Linked DNA regions of Alligator mississippiensis. The protein of the gene in region 1 interacts with the protein of each later gene in a pairwise test. Links are inferred from orthologs where the notes say so. Each region holds a gene or a part of one and is shown in the gene's direction. Other genes may lie near its edges.

Region 1 (3,659 bases):
AAGAACAGACATCCCGTGCGAGACCAGGTCTCGTAGGCTGGGGCGCAGGGCCTCGGCCTCGGTGCCCGCAGAGGGCTGGCGCGTGGAGGCAGTTCACATTGTTGCCTTCTGCCCAAAGCTGGTACCTGCTTCTGGGGAAGGAGCCGTGCGGGCACGGGCAGCACTGCCGGGCACCGTCTCCCCGGCCTCTGCAGCCCCCAGGGGCAGCGGGTCCAGGGGATACCAGAGTGCCTGCTCCCACCGCTCCTCCTGGTTTCTCTCCCTCGCCTCCCTGCCCTGGGTTTGGAGCTGCTGCTGCTGTGGTCAGTGTGGCAGTGCCCTGAGCCACCCCAGCCCAGGCCTCCACCCACTCCTGGCCTGCCAGGCTTCCCTGTTCCCTGGCAGCGCCAAGCTGGGCAGCGCCTGTTGCCTGGGGCCTTCCCAGCGTCTCCTCCGTGACCGCCCGTCTTGGGGCAAAGCTCAGTGATGGAGATGATCCCGGGGGAGATGCCCAAGAGGTGGCCCCGGGCTCTGTCCTACTCGCTTCCAGATGAGCAGCGTTGGAGGGGGGCCGTTCCCTTGGCAGTGTCCTGCCCTGCAGCGCCCGGGCCGCTTCTTCCCTGGCCTGGGAGCCGCGGGCAGAGCGAAGGTGGACAAAGCGGCTGCTCCAGGCACCTGCTCATCCTCCGCTGGCTGGCTCGCAGCACCTGGCCCTGACCAGGACCCAAGCGGCGCTGTGGAAGGAGCGAGGCCTGGCAGCCGGGTGCTGCCAGCCTGGGGGGAGACTCGGCACGTGTTGGGAAGGAGCATGCAGCTGGCCATGGGGCGCCGCAGGGAGACCTGAGCACCGGGCAGGGCATGGCTGGGAGCCGTGGCCCAGAGCATAGCCTCGTGGTGTCGAATGCCCGAGGATGCAAACCCAGTCCCCGGCTCGCATTCAAGCCCGGGGCTGGCAGGAGAATCGGGGTCCCTCCGAGCACGGCCAGGCCAGGCCAGGCCAGGCCCCCTGCCCCGCTCCTGTTTGTTCCAGCTGTCCTGCCAGGTGCTGCTCCTTGGCCTGCCTGGCCCCGCGTGGAGGCAGCTCGATCCTTGAACTCTCCGTGCCACATCGTCGGGACTTGGGAGGGTTCCTTGGGCTGCGGCTCCGCTTATCTCGCCAAGCACTGCCCCCTGCACCATAAATAGCAGCCGGAGGAAGCAGGAGCCTCACAGAGCCGCCGGAGCAGCAACAGCAGCAGGAACAACTGGTGAGACCCCGACCCCATCCTTCCCTTGCGTCCACTCCGGCCGCGCTCCCCTTGGATCTTCAGCGCAGCCCCCACCGGTGCCAGGGCACGATCTCTGCCCCAGAGGCTCAGCCCATTGCTCACCTCTGCCCACGAGCGAGGGGAGACCCCAGGGCATCTGCACCCGAAGCTGCCTGCTCTCCTCACTCTTGCTGCGGGAGACGAAGGAGCTGCCTCCAGCCCACCCCGAGAATAAAATCAGCTGCAGAATCGGGATCGCCAGCAGCTCAGCAGGACCCTGGGGTGGGTGGGGGCATCACAGCTACTGGGGCACCTCCATCGGTGGAGGGGGCACCCCATCCGGGCATCTGCTCCCGACTCCCCTTGGCCCCGGCCGGGCTCCAGGCTGGCTGGAGCAGAGTCCTAGGTGCTCACCCAGGAAACCCTCTTGTCTTTCGCAGCCCGAGACACAGCCGAGGATGAGAGCGATTGTGGTGACCCTCGCCCTGGTGTTCCTCACAGGTGAGCCCCAACCCGGCGCGGGGCGGCCCCGGAGCACAGAGTCCTGGGCAGCCTGGGTGCGATACCGGGCAGGGCCGGCCCGTGGGGTCCTGCCCTCGGGCTTCGGGAGCCCCTGCAAGCCCAGGCTGGTGCGGGCAGGCATCCCCGCCTCGAGCGCTGCGGGGCAAGCTGCCGGGCATGTCCTGAGCCCTTTGCCTTCTCCCCCCACCCCGCAGGGACCCAGGCTCGGTACTTCTGGCAGCACGATGACCCCCAGACGCGCCTGGACCGCTTCAAGGACATGCTGAACGTCTACATGGAGACCATGAAAGCCAGTGGCAAGGAAGTCGTGGCCCAGTTCGATGCCTCGGCAGTGGGCAAGCAACTGGAGTAAGTGCCTGACCGCGGGGCCTGGGGGGGGCCTGGGGAGTTCAGTCGCACGCTGCTGGGAGCAGCCTCCTGAGCCCCGGGCCGTGGTGGCTTAGGTGGGCGCACGGGGGCATCCCCAGCAGCTCGTAACCTGGTGCCATCTTGCCCCCCAGCCTGAAAGTGGGCGACACCCTGGACTCTCTGAGCTCAACGATAGTGCAGATGAAGGAGGATCTGGCCCCCTACTACGAGGAGATGCGGGATGCGTGGGACAAGGAGACGGAGAGCTTGCAGAGCGAGGTGGCGCAGGACCTGGAGCAGGTGCGGCAGAAGTTCCAGACCGCCCTGGAGCAGTTCGCGCAGCAATGGGGGGCCGAGGTGGACCAGTACAGGGAGAAGCTGGTGCCCGTGGTGTCCAATGTGAAGGATCTGTCGAGGCAGAAGTTGGAGCTGCTGCAGCAGCAGCTGACGCCGCTGGCAGAGGAGGCGCAGGAGCGGATGCGTGGGCACGTGGACAAGCTGCGCAAGACCCTGGCGCCCTACAAGGAGGAGCTGACCCAGAAGATGCAGAAGCTGCGCGAGAGCCTCCCCTACACCTCCAACGTCCGGGACCAGGCCGTCCAGCACCTCAGCAACCTGCGCGAGAAGGTCACGCCCCTGGTGCAGGACCTCAGGGAGAGCATCAAGCCCTACACCGAGAGCATCAAAACCCACCTCTTGAACCTGTTCCAGGAGGCCCGCAAGACCCTGTCCTGAGCCCCGGGCCCGTGCCCTGCCTCTGGGGCCATCTGCTCCCACCCCAGGCAGTGCATCCTCTGGCTTTGTCCAATAAACCTGCTTTAAGTTATCAGTGTTTTCGGTGCGTCTCTGCGGGGCAGGTGGGGGGTTGTGTGTGGCCAGAGGGGTGGAGGGGCGCAGCACTGGGCTCTGTGCCTGTGTCGGAGCCAGGGGATGGAGCGGGGGGGTTGCTGCACCGCGTCCGTGCCCGGCTGCGCCCGCGCTGCCTGGGACCTGCTTCCTGCAGCCGGCGCGGCTGAGGGACCCTGAGACCCCTGCCTGGCTCCTCTCCCCTCGCAGCTGCAGAGCGGGGCCTGTCTGGTGCCTGGCTCAGCTCAGCTCAGCTCTGCTGCGACGCCAGGACCCGCTGCCCCGGCTGCCAGGGGTGTCCCGAGCCCCGGGCCCCCATCACCTCCCGGGCAGCATGAGGTGGGGGTGGGGAGGGCAGCCTGGTGCAGTGGGGGTGATGCCCCCCATGCGGGGGGGCTCCAAAGTGGGGCTTTGAGGGAGGGGCTGTGCTGGGTGCCAGGCATGACAGTGTCGAGTCCGGGAGCTGGATTGGGCCGTGCACGGGTCGCAGGGCAGCCGGAGCGGGGCCCCCGGTCAGCACGCACTCAGCATCCCGGCCCATCGCCTCCTGTGTCCTCGTGTGCACTGCACCTAGCACACGCAGACGCACGTGCACGTACTCATGCACACCCATGCACACAGACGTGTGCACACGCATGCACAAATACACACACACACACACACACACACACACACACACAAGGCTGCAGCAAAATGGTGCCACGGCACCTCCTTTTA
Region 2 (3,896 bases), on another chromosome or scaffold:
CCGGATGACTGTAGCTGGCAGAGCTCAGACAAGCAAGGGCTCAGTGAGAAATGTCCTTGCTCAGGGCCAGGGACGAGCTGTGGCCTCTGCTAGACCCTGGGTGTTGGCTTAGCCCCATCGTAGGCGCTGGGAACGGGTGGGGGCTGCAGAGAGGGGTCTGGCAAGCGAGCGAGCACATGGGGTGTGAGTGCGGGCACCGGGCATCAGCAGCTGGGCAGAGAGGCTCTGAGCTGGACACAGCTGCTCCAGCTCTCGGTGCTTCGCGTGGCCCGGGCCAGGCCTGGTCTCTTCTGAGGACCTTGGACAAAGGGGAAGGAGCCAGTGGCAAACGCCAGACAAAGCCCCTTTGCAACAGGCTTCAGGGCCAGGGCTGTTTGCATGGGGTGCAGCTGGGCTGGGAGGGGAGCACGCGGCCCGAGGCCCCGAGCTCGGGAGCCAGAGCCTGGTCCTGGCAAGTGCTGACACCAGCTGTTCCCCGGGAGCCTTTGTTTTGCAACGCAGCCCCCGGGCTGGCCTGGCCTGGCCTGGCTTGGCGGAGGAGCCGGTCAGCTGGTCCCGGTGCTTTCACAACCCAAACCTCAAGCTGGAAGAAGAAAACCGCGGGGAAGGCTGGGGGGGCCGCGGCGCTGGCAAAACAAAGCGTTTCTCAGCTCAGCTGGGGGATGTTTGTGTGGAAACAAGGAGCTGGCCATGGGGGCCCTGCGAGGAAGGGGGTTACTGCCGGTCAGTGCCCCGAGGCGGGCAGGCCTGGGGCGGCCTGAACGCGCGTAACCCCGTGCCAGCGCTGCCTCGCAGCCACAGCCAGGGCCCAGGGGCCCAGCCTTGGGGGTCCCGCAGGGGAGGCCGAGACCCCAGATCGGAGGGTGCCCAAGCTGGGCTGGGGGTTGCATTCCCCAAGTACAAGGAGGAGACCCCCCCCATGGCCCTGCAGCCTTGGGCCTGGACCATGGAAAAACACCAGCTCTCTGTGTGGGTGTTTTCCAGGGCCCTGTCCAACCCAAACAGCCTCCCCGGGTAAACAGGGGCTGCGGCCAGGCCAGCTCCCCGCGGTGCCCCCCTTGGTGCGACCCTTGCTCCGGTGCCTTTGGCCTTGGCCCAAGGGCTTGGGCAGCTGTGGGACCAGGCCGGGGGAGCCGGGTGCATTGGAGGGAAGGGACAGGGGCACCGGCTGTTTCTGCCCCTTCCGGGCAGGGGCAGTTGCTGGGGGGGGAAGGCAGGCCCAGGACCACTTCCGGCCTGTGCTGGGTGCGTGTCGGTGCGATGGTGGGAGTTGGGGGGCGGTGGATGCACCCCACAGTCCCGGGCGGTAGCTCTCCCTGCTCATGGGAGCCCCTTTCTGTGCAGCAGCACGGGGTGAAGCTGTTGGGCAAAGCTGTTGCCCGCTTCAGGGCAGGCGCTGGCTGGGCCCCAGCGAGCCCCCCCCACCCCTGCCCGGGCACTTGGGGGTTAAAGGCAGCTATTCCCCCCTCCCCCCCCACCAGTGCGCGCACACCCTGCTGGGATCTGGTTTCCTGGACCAGCAACCTCCCAATTAAGAGGCCTTGGGAAGGAGGGAGGGGAAAGGGGGTCAGGTTCCCCCCCTGTGGGGCGGGGGCGGCGCAGGGTTTATAGGGCAGGGTTTATAGGGCGTGGGAGCAGGGCTGCAGCCATTGCTTCCTTCCAGCTTGCAGCAAGTGTGCGGGGCTGGGGGGGGGATCCTGGGCTGCAGCTGGGGCTGGGGCTGGGGCAGAGGCAGAGGGGGGTCCTGGGTTGCTGCTGGAGGAGCAGAGAGAGGGGTCTTGGACTGAAGCTGGGGGGAGCAGACGGGGGGTCCTGGGCTGGAGCTGGGGGGGGCAGAGAGGGGAGTCCTGGGCTGGAGCTGGGGGGGCATGGGGGTTTTGGGGGTGGTTTTGCAGCCCCCCCTGTGCAGGGGCTGATCTGGGGAGTGGGTTCCCACAGGGCTGGGGCTTGGTCAGATCCTTGAAGGGAGGGCAGGGGGCAAGAGTGAGGCCCAGGCAGGGTGGGGGTCTCTGTGGGGTTTGAGGGCTGGTTGTGGGGGTCCTGGCAGGGCATGGAGTTGCTGGGAGATGGGAATGGGGCCCCAGCAGGAGGCACGGTGGGGATGGGGGCCGTCTCGCCCCCCCAGTGTGGCTCCAGGTGACCCTCCCTTTTGCCCCCCATCCCCACAGGTTGCAGCCAACCCCAGGGACGATGCGGCCTGCAGTTTCCATCGCTCTGGCCCTTGTGGCTCTGCTGGTCCTGGCAGGTAGGAGCCTGGAGCGGGTCCCTGGGATGGTGTATGTGTGTGTGTGTGCACACATATCTGCACATGCATGTGCGTGTGTCCTGGAGGAGCATGCGTGTGCAGGCAGGGGCTGCACGGGCATAAGAAGTAGTGGGGGAGGGAAGGCAGGTGCGTGGAAGCGGACAGACATGTCTGACCAGTCTTTGTTGTCTGTACTTCATATAACACGCGTGTCCTATCCTGCCGTGTTGCGCCGCGTTGCATCGCATCTTGCTGTCTCCCCTGCGGGGCAGGGCTGGTGCCTGCTGCAAGTCTGCAGCGCTCAGGCACCCACAGCCGCCCTGGTGTGCCCAAGGAAATCAATCACTTGACAGATGCCTGGAGTCTTGCCAGCCCCAGCTGCCTCACGTGCACGTGCATGCGTGTGCAAGCATGTGCCATGGGTGTCTGTGTGTCAAGCAGCAGTCTGGAGACCCACGTGTCCATGGGGCAGGAATTTGGTTGGGGGGGCAGGGGGGGAGCACGTGCACTTGCCATCTGCCTTGGGAGACCCCCACCTGGGCACATCTGTCTTGGCACTTGCCTCCCAGAATCTCCGCTGGGCACTGCGCGAGCCTGGCACAGCCAGTGCTGCTCTCCGCAGGCTCCGTGCCCAGGCTGTGACACAGCAGAGGAGACCGTGTATGTCCTCCCTTGTTTTACTGGTATCCAGTGACCGGCTCTGGGGGCTGGGTAGGGTCGAGGCAGGCATCCTGCCCAGGCCCCCCTCACTTCCACCCTGCCCAGGCACACCCAGCTGATGCTTCCTCCCCACAGACTCTGCCCGGTCGGAGCCAGGGGAGCCGACCCTGATGCAAAAGCTGGAGCAGTTCAAGGAGAATGTGAAGGTCTTCGCTGACAACATTGGGGAGAAGACCAAGGCAGCCTTGCAGGAGCTGCATGACAGCGAGTTCAGCACCAAGACCCGGTGAGCAGGCGGGCGGCTGTGGGGCCCTGACCCTCTCTCCGCTCCCTGGGGCTGGGCCTGGTGGAGGGGGAAGGCTTAACGAAGTTGAGGTGGATGGTGACGCCAATCCTGGCCCTGGCTCAGAGGGGCTGGTGCTGCGGGTCTGCCAGCTCCCCAGGGAGCTGGGAGAGCGGTGGAGGGGCTGGACCCGCTGATGCCCTGTGCTGATGCCCTGTCCCTTGCCTGGCAGGAACTGGTTCTCTGAGCACTTCAAGAAGGTGAAGGAGAAGCTCAAGGACACGTTTGCCTAGGACTGGCCTGATTCAGTGGGGGAATGGGGGTCTCCAGGCAGCCCCCAGCCATGCCCAGTATCTCACTGGTGGCCTTGTTCCTGCCGCCCTTGCTGTGTAGCCATGAATTAAAGCACTGCTGCCTTCGTATCCCGGCATCCACTCAGTCTCCCCTGCTGCGTACTGCCTGCCCCTTCACAATGGAGGACTCGGACCCCTCCCTGTCCATCCTGGATGGTTCTGCTACGTGCACATGCATGTGGGGCCGAGCCCCAGGCTCCCATGCCCACCTGGCTCCACCCCTGTGTGCAATCTTGTTGCATGGGTGGTGCAGCACATGGATTGACAAACACGTGTGCATGCACGTGGCTGCGGCGCTCCAGCCTGGTGAGATGGTGGGAAGAGCTGCTGGGAGGCGACCCCGGTTCAGGCACAG

What was found.
Region 2: the proteins of APOA1 (region 1) and APOC1 interact in a two-hybrid assay, tested with the Homo sapiens proteins (2 studies listed by BioGRID, with this or other methods). The link is inferred for Alligator mississippiensis from reciprocal best matches to the Homo sapiens genes APOA1 and APOC1.

The regions. Positions count from the first base shown.
Region 1 is NC_081839.1:34,259,886-34,263,544, reverse strand, and holds APOA1 (apolipoprotein A-I), read left to right. Parts: upstream 1-1,141; 5' UTR 1,142-1,226; intron 1,227-1,666; 5' UTR 1,667-1,684; coding exon 1,685-1,727; intron 1,728-1,942; coding exon 1,943-2,096; intron 2,097-2,248; coding exon 2,249-2,831; 3' UTR 2,832-2,922; downstream 2,923-3,659. UniProt on the Homo sapiens protein: Participates in the reverse transport of cholesterol from tissues to the liver for excretion by promoting cholesterol efflux from tissues and by acting as a cofactor for the lecithin cholesterol acyltransferase (LCAT).
Region 2 is NC_081838.1:31,178,455-31,182,350, forward strand, and holds APOC1 (apolipoprotein C-I), read left to right. Parts: upstream 1-1,651; 5' UTR 1,652-1,675; intron 1,676-2,168; 5' UTR 2,169-2,190; coding exon 2,191-2,245; intron 2,246-3,040; coding exon 3,041-3,191; intron 3,192-3,420; coding exon 3,421-3,481; 3' UTR 3,482-3,610; downstream 3,611-3,896. UniProt on the Homo sapiens protein: Inhibitor of lipoprotein binding to the low density lipoprotein (LDL) receptor, LDL receptor-related protein, and very low density lipoprotein (VLDL) receptor.